Linked DNA regions of Tribolium castaneum. The protein of the gene in region 1 binds, or shares a complex with, the protein of each later gene. Links are inferred from orthologs where the notes say so. Each region holds a gene or a part of one and is shown on either strand. Other genes may lie near its edges.

What was found. The genes of interacting proteins can lie anywhere in the genome.
Region 2: eIF3b (region 1) and eIF3e share a complex: the UniProt entries of both Drosophila melanogaster proteins name them as parts of the eukaryotic translation initiation factor 3 (eIF-3) complex. The link is inferred for Tribolium castaneum from reciprocal best matches to the Drosophila melanogaster genes eIF3b and eIF3e.
Region 3: eIF3b (region 1) and eIF3i share a complex: the UniProt entries of both Drosophila melanogaster proteins name them as parts of the eukaryotic translation initiation factor 3 (eIF-3) complex. The link is inferred for Tribolium castaneum from reciprocal best matches to the Drosophila melanogaster genes eIF3b and eIF3i.

Annotation. Positions count from the first base shown.
Region 1 is NC_087399.1:10,630,218-10,633,529, forward strand, and holds the end of eIF3b (eukaryotic translation initiation factor 3 subunit B), read left to right. Parts: intron 1-1,930; coding exon 1,931-2,233; intron 2,234-2,435; coding exon 2,436-2,530; 3' UTR 2,531-2,805; downstream 2,806-3,312. UniProt on the Drosophila melanogaster protein: RNA-binding component of the eukaryotic translation initiation factor 3 (eIF-3) complex, which is involved in protein synthesis of a specialized repertoire of mRNAs and, together with other initiation factors, stimulates binding of mRNA and methionyl-tRNAi to the 40S ribosome.
Region 2 is NC_087394.1:22,552,416-22,556,547, forward strand, and holds the start of eIF3e (eukaryotic translation initiation factor 3 subunit E), read left to right. Parts: upstream 1-1,317; 5' UTR 1,318-1,405; coding exon 1,406-1,495; intron 1,496-1,543; coding exon 1,544-1,822; intron 1,823-4,132. UniProt on the Drosophila melanogaster protein: Component of the eukaryotic translation initiation factor 3 (eIF-3) complex, which is involved in protein synthesis of a specialized repertoire of mRNAs and, together with other initiation factors, stimulates binding of mRNA and methionyl-tRNAi to the 40S ribosome.
Region 3 is NC_087394.1:748,456-751,918, forward strand, and holds eIF3i (eukaryotic translation initiation factor 3 subunit I), read right to left. Parts: upstream 2,153-3,463; 5' UTR 2,028-2,152; coding exon 2,025-2,027; intron 1,909-2,024; coding exon 1,715-1,908; intron 1,337-1,714; coding exon 553-1,336; 3' UTR 516-552; downstream 1-515. UniProt on the Drosophila melanogaster protein: Component of the eukaryotic translation initiation factor 3 (eIF-3) complex, which is involved in protein synthesis of a specialized repertoire of mRNAs and, together with other initiation factors, stimulates binding of mRNA and methionyl-tRNAi to the 40S ribosome.

The DNA of each region.
Region 1 (3,312 bases):
CTATTCTACTTGAACATGGATACATGACATCTATTGGATAACTAAAGGTTACGGAAAACAAAATAAAAAATAATAAAATCATATAAACTAAAGATTAGTTTGAAAGATCCTAATCATGATATTTATGTCTTAAGGAAAATTGATTAAGCAATTAATAAAGTAAAACCGCGTCTTCTATCGAAGATTATAAAATAATAGAGGTAAAAAATTAAACAGATTTAAAATTTAAACGACTGAAAAAACGAGAGAAAGAAGTCGAGACACAAGCCAAACATTCATATTACGTAAAAAAAAGTGAAGATATGATCGAAGATTTAAATAAAATTTGATCATTTAGAACTTGTTGATTAAAAAATGGCCTTTATTGCAAATATGAAAGTTTCTGACATTGTAGAAAAAAGGAATGACCGAAATAAAGGTAAAATCGGATGGAGTGTTGTGTATATCTGTATTTTTGTATTTTCTATTGTGCTCGCGTTTTCGTGTTTCTGGATGCAATCCTTCATCAAAGAATTCAAGGCTTGCACATTTTAGTGTTTTATAGAAAATGGGTTATATTTTCAGCTTTTCTAGCTACACCCATTGCTAAGATTTTATTTAACTGCGCGTATGATTATTAATTATTATCTGAAAAGTAGGTGATTTTTTTGTTTTTTCATATTTTTTATTGTTCTTACAGATAAAATAGACATGTACAGCACTTATGTTTCGTATAAAATAATTACAAATTCATTAAAACAGACAAAAGAGGATCACAGAAAATAACAACATTGCATGGTTTGACGAAGACACATTTAACAGCGCCTGAGTTACCCTGAAAAAAGTTGGTAACTCGACACATTTCATCGGTCAAGTTTGTTTTAGGAGCTGTTAAATTGTAATTAAGCACTGGAATACGCCAAATCAAAGTTAATTTTGTTTTACCGTTAAACATTTTATTTGTTCAAGAGGCACCGCACTGTGCGGTGTTGAAATTTCACAAGCCTTTTCCTTAAAAAAGTTAATTGTTTTTGGCGCAATTTCGAGAAATTGTTGCATTTATTGCTGAAAAACATGTCTAAATTTTCGAAAAAATTGGGGTTTTTCTAAAATGGGCTGAAACATTAAGAAACAGAAGTAATGCATTTTTTGACATAAAATGGTGGTTTCTTTTCTAAAAAGGATAAAATTAACGCCACTTTAATGTAATTTTAACTAAAAATTGACTTAAAAAAGGGGAAATTCAGCAATTTTTTCGAATAATTTTTGACCCAAAATAATCACGTTTCTGACTGACACTTGAAATCAGAAAAATAATCTCATTTTTGATCTTATTTCGGCCCGGTTAATATACTTACATGCTTAAAAAACAAAAAGATAACACTCCTTTAGACATAACTTGGTGATTTTTTGGGTTTTTTATCGAACTAATAATTCCGGTTTTTGCTGAAAATGGTTCTAAATTTCTTTGAACACACGAAAATGACGTTTTTATCTAATTTAGGATTTTTTTTTGGATATGTTTATCAAAATATTACAGGAAAACTATGGATCAAAAAGCAAAAATAACACTTTGGCGATTTTTTGAATGATCTTAAACAACGCCTTGTGAAACAAAAACGTTCCAGACTAAAAAATGCACTGAATAACTAATTTTTCGTCCTTTTTTGTTGAAATTTAGCAAAAAACTTTATTTTACAATACAAGTATAAATTTTAAAAAATGTTAAAAAAATAATAACTCAGGTTGATGTTATTATGTTTTTTTTTTATAGATTCCGACACAAAAACATACAAATTTTAATTCATCTAAATCCTCTTAAAGTTAATCTAACTTAATTTACTTACAAGGACCTTTTTCGTTTATATTGAAAATTGGTCTACTTCGTGAACGATTTTGAGAATTAAATATTTTCATTTCAAAATCATTATCGGAGAATTTTTCTTTTCAGGTTATTGGATTTGGTCGTTCCAAGGAAAAATCCTGAAACGTGTTAATTTGGAAAAATTCGCCCAGTTGTTGTGGCGTCCACGACCTGCAACTTTATTGTCTGAAGAAAAGCAGAAAGAAATCAAAAAGAACCTCAAAAAGTATTATCCACAGTTTGAGAGCAAAGACAGAATGAGACAATCGAAAGCTTCAAAGGAACTTATCGAAAAACGTGCCGCTTTAATGAAGGAGTTTAACGAATACAGAAGTAAAAGGATTAAGGAATATAACGAGAATAAGCAAAGACGACTTCAACTTAGAAATAGTGAGTGTTTTAATTTGATTTTGTAGTTGTTAGTTACCCTGATTTTTTGCTGACACGCTGATTTGTAGTGTGGTTAGTTATACGCTCAGGGGAAATTAAAACATGTTTTTGCGTTCAGTTACAGTTTATTTAACTGCAAAAACATGTGACAATGTTTAATTCTAATTGTTTTGCAGTTTTTTTAACGCTTGATTTTTTCCAGATATTGATACCGATGAATTAGATGCCGACCCACAAAACGTAGAAGAAGAAATTGTAGAATTCTTTATTAAAGAGGAAACAACCATTTTGGACTAAGACAATTGAGGTTGAAGTGTTGGTTCCTGTGTGCATTCAACGTGTGCACGGGATTTATAGTGACTGTGAATTCATAAACAGCCTTAAATAAGAAAATTTACACCAATTTGTTGTGTTTTATCTTATTTAGTAGGTTCTCGTTCAATCTTTTTCTGTTGTCAGCTGCCATTATATTTTAATTTTTTATTCTATTTAGGTGGGTCAATTTTAACCATGTACGATACTAATCTCAACTGTCTGTTGGTTATTTGGAAAATAAATTTTCATATGACAAATGTTTTTTTTTCTCTTCCTAAACTCACCACAAGTGGCGACATCTAGCCTTTTCGTAACTTTATGATTTGTTGTCTAAGGACTATATAAAATTCTAGGTTCGTTCCAGCAGTGTTGTCATCAATTTTCTCATATACAAGTCTATAAAAATGTCAGCAGAAGTAGGGTCACTATGATTTACTAAGCAGTGGTGCATTGCTGCCAATATAAAAATGCTGTATCAAGTTGTCGGTGTGATCCGGGACACGTGCTGCTAAAGAAAATAATAAAACAAAATACATAAAAGGTTGATCGGTTTTATTGCGCGTAAAAGATACTTTTGGATACACGATATCCTTGTGTTGCACGATTTCGGAAAAATGTGTTTGTGGTGCGAGTTTGAGTGGTGGAAAATCGATGCGATTTGTTGTAAAATTGAATTTTGGCTGAAATTGTGATACATGGGGATGGAGGCATGACAGTATAAGCAGCACGTTTTTTATGCGCTTTTGTGAATTGGATGTATAATA
Region 2 (4,132 bases), on another chromosome or scaffold:
CTTTTGCACAAGATTTATACAAAATTTTGCCAACAGGAAGGCAAGACAAAGCTTAGTTTCATTTTTTTTCCACAAGTTTTAATCAAAATTTGAAATGCAAAGCATTTCGACACTAATGGGTACATTTTGTACAGTTGGTTGCAAATGCGTTCCAACACTCTTTTGATCATTTTCGTGAGCATAAAAATGTTTGTTTACCATTCGGCAAAATGTTCAAGTTTGTATGACGCTTTTTACGTTCGTTTTGTGTTTCGCAGTTCGCTCTTGGCATAGGCTCTTGGTCACTCACATGGCAACATGCGCTTTTGGTTCCTCACAGTAAAAACACGTGCCAAATGTTTGTAGAATACGTTTTCTACAACTATACAGCTAATACTAATGCGTTTTGCCTTAGAAATCTTCTGCACTGACAGCAGTGTGACAACACTTAACCTTAGAACTGTCAGAATTGTTTTACTTTATAGTGGCTCCCTCTCAGAAACAAAAATATGCCATGGAACTAAGCAATGCGGCCAGCCGTGTGAAGGGAAAGTTCCTTCATTAATCAAGGAAGCTGTGCTCACTGAAATAGGATTTACTGATGATGCGGATAGATGGCCTTAGTGTTTTACGGGAAAAAGAAATCCTATTGGCGGATTTAAAATTTCATATTACTGAAGAAAAACGTGGTACCGATGCGCGGCTGACAAGTAAAAATTTCACAAACGTCAGCAAAATTTGAGTTTATTTTTTATATCACGTTAATTTTTCAAAGTTTTATTAAGATAGTGGTTCAAGGTGTCGTGTTTGGGTTAGACTATTGCCTACTATCGGTTAGGAACAACATGATCTCCAAGAATATAACGTAGTAATGAGCTCCAGAAGGTTTTCATTGATAGGTGCGTTTTTTCCAAAAGTGAGTTTTTTGAGAGCGAACCGCAAGTGAGTCACACTGTGAGGAGATTCCCATAGACAGAAGTTGCTAACATAAGGTGCCAGTTTGGCTGATTGCAAGTATGTCTTTATCATCGATGCGGTGACGACTATTAGTTTTGTAAACTTAATGGATTTAATAAATATCTTTAATATTAAATGTGTTTAGATCGTGTCATGTTGGGTAAAATTCTTCTATTTGTGCTGTTTGTGCATCCACCTTTTCAAATACAATTAGAAAATTTTCATAATAATTGTATTTGATAAGGTTTTGACATCATTTTGACGTGAGCAAAAATTTAAAAAATACAAAGTAATCGGGATTATTTAATTCGCGCCATTTTTAGTACGTGATGATGCGGCTAGATGGCTCCAGCTAGGAATTCATTGCCAACCATTATGTTCCGCTTCTATAAAAGTGTTATTCTAGGGTGCCGCCATATGTGTCACATTTTATAAAATCTTGTTAGTTTTTGCATAAAAACGGTATAAAATGGCCCAATTTGATTTAACTTCCCGCATGGGGCAATATTTGGATCGGCACTTGGTGTTTCCATTGTTGGAATTTTTGTCGGCTAAAGAGGTACAGTTTTTGAGGTTATGTTCATTCGGTTGATTCCGAATTTCGTAGATTTACGATGAAACGGAATTGCTTAAAGCCAAATTAGATATTTTGAGCAAGACCAACATGATCGATTATGCTATTGACATCCGAAAGCAGCTGTATCCAAATGAAGAAGTTCCTGAAGATCTGAAGCAAAGGCGTCAACACGTTGTAGCTCAGTTACAGGAGCTTCAACAGGAAGTGCAACCAATTTTGAAGATTATGGCCGACGATGAGGTCATGAAGAATATGGAAAACATGAGGGATTCGAAAACTTTGATTAATTTCCTTTCAAAGGATTACAAAGTAAATACAATGTGTTCAAAAATGGTTGTTCACCCAGTCGACTATGGAAGTCAAAAACAATGTTCCGCTTCGTTCAAATCATTATTGTAGTGTTTGAATACTCTCATCTCTGTCAAATCTTAGCTTTTTACTCACTTTTTTGCATTTCTCAAGTGTGGGGTTTGCCGTCATTTGTGTTTTACATCTCGGTGAAATTTGTTGTGTACTCTTTCGTTTTTAGATTTGAAGTTTTTTTGCATTAATTTGACGGTTTTGTCGCTTTTGACGGCATTCACAATTTAAATTAAGTGGCACATTACGTTCAAATTTCATAAGTGACTTGCAATGAACAATCATTTCTGAATAGTGTGTTTGGACGAATACATTTTTGCAAAGAAAATGCACGTCAAGCTAATGAATGTTTATTTTAAAAAAAGAAGGATAAATTGAAGAAATACCTTTATTTGTAACTTATGACCTACTTAAACACTACTTTAAAACACTATATTTAACATGAAATTAAAACAAAGAAAAATAGGAATGATATTTGACAATTAATTGTTTGAACAAAAAAAAGATAGATTTTTTTGTAATTTCAATCTTTATTGGCTTCAATGACGACTCAACTTAGCGCTGGCATACTTTTAACGAATCCCTTACAAAATTCTGGCGTTTTATTGTTCCAAATATGTTCTATTTTATTTTTTAAATCTTTCAACAACTATTGAGGAAGATTTGTAGGATACCTTTTTACTTTGTGCCAAAAAGACTCAATGATATTTAAATCAGAGCTGTTTGCTAGCCACTCAATAAACTGACGTGGAAGTGTTATTGATGTTAACGAAAATATTTAATATAATGTTTTAATTTTTCTGATATGATATTAGTTAAGCAAATAATAATAATAGGTATTTATAAAATACAAAATATAAAAACTTGATTAATCGAAATTTAATTAATTCTGCAGTGTCTTTCTGGATCAACGGCGTATAATGCTATAAGCAAAAAATTCTTAAGAAAAATTTTTACGAACTTTTTGCACAAAACATTTAAGTATTTCAGGTGTTCTAAAATAACATAAGAAATAATAACTTTTGCAGCGTTTTAATATCATGTAATTTGATTGCGATTTTATGCAATTAATGAATTAGTAATTGTTAAAAAAAATAAAAAAACAATAAACTGCCAAGGAAGTTTTATTGATGTTACGAAAATATTTAATATTCAAAAAAATTATTTAATTCTACTAGTATTAGAAGTTGTTACCATTTAATTAATAAAATAAAAAAAAACTGTGGGTCGGTCTACAGACAGCGAAATTAAAATTTAATTCCGAATTAGACTAATTCGAGTTTAAGTTGTCATTTAAAATGCATTGGCAAATGTCAAGTTAATCACTAATAAAAATTTTATTGTAATTGAAATATTCTGTAAACTTCTTTGTTTAATTTAATTTCGCAGTTGGCAAGTAAGGTATAATCCTGCTTTTTCCGTAAATTTGTGCTAATGCGAGAAGGGTTAGCTGGTTTGATCTTCCGGTGATTTCCGGGGCAAATTGTTCAGTCAGTTACAGAATTTGTTATCACTTATAATGCAACAAAAATTAATGAAAACTTAAAAGCAATTAAAGAATGTTGGCATATTAATTAGTCACACAAAAATCAGTGTTTTCTATTAAATACTTAATTTTTTTCTCAAAGATTTTTTTTTATTTTTTTTTACATTTCCTTAAATAAACATGAATTACTAAAAATTATGTTAATAAAATTGAAAATATTATTCCGTGTAATTAATTAATTATTAATTTTATAATTTCAATAGTGTCTTTTAAATGAATGATATTTTAAGCAAAAAATTCTTAATAAAATTGTTGCTAACCTCAAAATTTCGATTTATTAAATTTTAATATTTTATACAATGTGTTTTTAAATGATTCTCATCCAGTTAACTTTGAAATTGGTTTACATGTAAAAAATTGTGCCGCTTTGCTCAATTGAATCCTCTGTTAATAAATGTAAAGTCTGTCAGTTGGCAAATTCATTTAATTTGTTTTAAAAACTTCGTTAAAATGTAACTAAATTATTATACCGTGCAAGAAAACACTTTTATTTTTTAAGCTTACTTTATATTTGGAGCCTTAATAAATGGAGAATGGTAATATTCGATGTCTAAATGCCTATCATTATTTATATGAAGCGGTATTTTCTGATTTTACTGTAGAAATTCACAGACGACTAGATGAGAATTATTTAAAAACACATTGTATTATTTATTAATATTTATTTTATTTTTTAATTAATTAAGGGCCAGTTTTATAATCGAATTTAAAGG
Region 3 (3,463 bases), on another chromosome or scaffold:
CACAAAATTGAGGTTAGTAATTTTTCAGTCTCAAAAAACACAAAACGTAACTAAATGCAGTAATACGGAGCTGAAAATTTCATTATTTTTGCTTTTTCGAATGTTTTAGTTACATTTCACAAGTTGGAAGCGCCGGAATAAAATTTACCAAAATTATTTTCGTAATTAAATTTCAGTTTCAAACGAACGAAAAACACATTAACAAGGGCTTTATTTGTGTATTTTCTGTCAAAAAGTCAAAAAGCTATGACAGATAAATCCATAAAATCCGGGTTTTTGTTAAAAAAAAACAGAACATAGTTAGGTATTTTATTTTGGAATACTCTGTATACAGATTAAAATATTTTTAGAACGTGCCTAATAAGTCTTACAATAGTAAACCTAGCGTTTCAAAAAAATTCAACTTGATAGCTTGCATAGAAAAAAAGTTATGGAGCACCTGTATAATCATTATTTAAAATCATTGCTCCGAAAACTTAGACTTGGACGTAATCTAGGAACAAAAACAACCAAACTGTTTTATTAAAAAATTTATTAATACCAGCTATCCATTTAATAATCGAAATTATACTCAAAATATGACGAATCGAAATTATGCACTCTCACATAACCATCTTCACCTCCTGAACTATAACTCTTGCCATCTGGATGAAACGCCACACTATTAATCGGCCCAAAATGCCCTTTAACCCTCCCAAACTCTTCTTCAAACACCATATGGAAAAACCTCGAGTCAAATTTCCCAACCCTTGCCGACGTGGTTGTCACATCCATGGCATCTTGCCCTCCGCCCACAACCACATGCTCAAAAATGGGGCTAATGGCAGCTGAATTAACCGGCCGTTCTGTCTTGTAAGTCTTCAGTAACATCAAATCAGCAGCGTCGAACAGTTTAGCTGTGTGGTCTTTGGACGCTGTCACAAACATTGTCCCGTCTTTATTCCACTGCATATCGTTGATTAAATGTTCGTGTTCACGTGTTGAACTGATCTCTTTGCCTGACTTCAAGTCCCACTTGATCAAATCCCCGTTTTCGTGCCCGGTTATTATAGTTTCGTCCAGGTTATCCCATAGGATTGACGAAACACGGGAACCTTTAATCGGGATGCGTAAAATGGGGTCGGCGTGCGAGATGCTTTCGTCCACGTTACGGACGTCAATAATGAAGATCTCGCAGTTGTGTTTGAGGGCTTTGTCGGTGGTGTACACTGCCATGTTGCCCGAGTAGCTAAACAGACACGTTCGGACTGATGAATTGGTTGAGATGTTCCCGATTTCTTTGCCCGTTTCACAGTCCCATACTTTAAGGGTGTTGTCACCGGCACCTGACAGGAACCTATAAAGTTTAAATAGTTTAAAAAGTAGCAAAATAGGTGATATTTCTGGTCTAAGTAGTATTTGATTAAATCAGTAAAAGCAAATTAATCAAAACTTGTACAGGGTGTCTCACCTAAAACTTTCGAGATTAATATCTGTTTTATTAATTTTAATTTTAAAATTACGATTTTAAGACTTCAGTTTTTGCATTAATTGGATTTTAATCTTTACTTTCCTAAATATCTGCATTTTAATTTTCATAAAAATACGTTGACAAATAACTGAGATATCAGGCTCAAAAGTATTAGGTGAGGCACCCTGTATATTCGCTACTGAGGCAACCTTATCGCGCACCCATTTGCTTTATTGCAGCAATAAATTTATTATTATTATTAACCTAGTGGTGGTCCAGTCGACGTCGATGCACCAGACAGCCCCCTGGTGGCCGTTGAAGGTTCCCAACCTCTCGCCATTAAGGGAGTACCAAACGTTGGGTTTGTTGTCCTTTGAGGAGGAGAAGAGGAGGTCGCCCTCACGGTTGTACTTGATTTGGGTGATGGCACGTTCGTGGCCGTGGAGTAGAAGGGGTTTCTGTGGGGGTTTTGAGGTTAAATTTAAGCGAACAATATGTGGGTGAAATTGTGGGGTAATGTAATGTTTTACGGTTGTGGGGCGTTTTTTTCGATTGATTGTGAGTCGTTACTTACCATTTTGTTAAAAAACTGGGCGTTTTTTTAAGGATTTTAATGATTAAACACGCTTTTTTTGACGGTTGTTTGACAGAAGAGGTGTCAAAATTAACTGTCATGGTGGGTTGTGCAGTGGCGGGGTTAAGTCAGTGCCGGCTCAGGTGAAATAACCGTATTGTCAAAATTAACTGATAAATGGCGTTATTGCCATTTTGGCAATTTTTAGCAGTTGGGAAAAATATGTAATAAAATTAACTGTGATTATTGATTAAAAACTCTTTGGGCCTTTACTGATTTTTTTTTTTAATTATTATCTTTACAAACTTAATCTTTTAAAATAATATTTCATTGTAGCGATTTTGTTTATTTTTGTATGAAATAAAGGGCTTTTGGCAGTAAAAAAATTAAGTAGAGCCATTAATTTAAGACCTTGGGACCTTACAATCTTTTTTTTATCTCAACTTTTTAAACTTTATTTTTTCAACTCCCTTTTCGTGTTTTAATTTTTGTAGGAAGCAAAGCCTGATGATGGGAATTTGATTGTAAAAAAAATTAAGTGTGGATAAATATTCCCTGGGGCCTTACCTATTTTTTTTTCTTTTTTTTTTGGAAAATATTTTAATTTTTCAAACATTATTTTTTAACCCCCTTCCCATTTATTGATTTTGTTCAATTCTGCAAGGAATATATAGCCTAGCCATGAGACTTTCGACTGTAAAAAAATTAATTGATGACAAACATTCTGCTTACTGAATGTTTTTCTTTTGTTTTTTTGCAAATGTTTTACTTTTTAAACTTCATTTTTTTCAACCGGCTTTCCGTACTGCAATTTTGTTTATTATTGCAGGAAATAAAGCTCTTGGATAGTGTTCGACTGTAAAACAATCAAGTGGAGGTAAACACTCTTTAAAACCTAACAGATTTTTTCTTTTTATTTTCAAAATTATTTTGAATTTTAGAACTTAATTTTCGCAACGCTTTTACCGTGTAAATAATAAATATTTTTGCTAGTAATAAAGCGCTCCAGTAGGGCCTTGGCTTGTAAAAAAATGAAGTGGGGACAAATATTCCTTGTAATCTTATTGAATTTTTTTTCTTTTTTTCTTTTTTGAAAACTCCTTGACTTTTCAAACTTTATTTTTTCAATCTCCTACCCGTGTAGCGACTTTGTTAATTTTTGCAAGAACGCGTCCTACTGATTTCAGCAACTGTAAACTAAAGAAACAAAATGGGGATAAACACTTTTTTTCGAAATATGTACAGGGTGTAATAAAAAACAAAGAAACTAAAGATTTAATCCAACTTTAACTTACCTTTATATCAAGTCGCACATTTTAAAAGTTAAAGCCAAAGTTTTTGCTTGCTTAATAAAAAAAACTCCAATTAAAATCTGAACAAGAATTTTATTGTAAAATAACACAATACTCTAAATATTTACATACAATTGCGTCAATTTG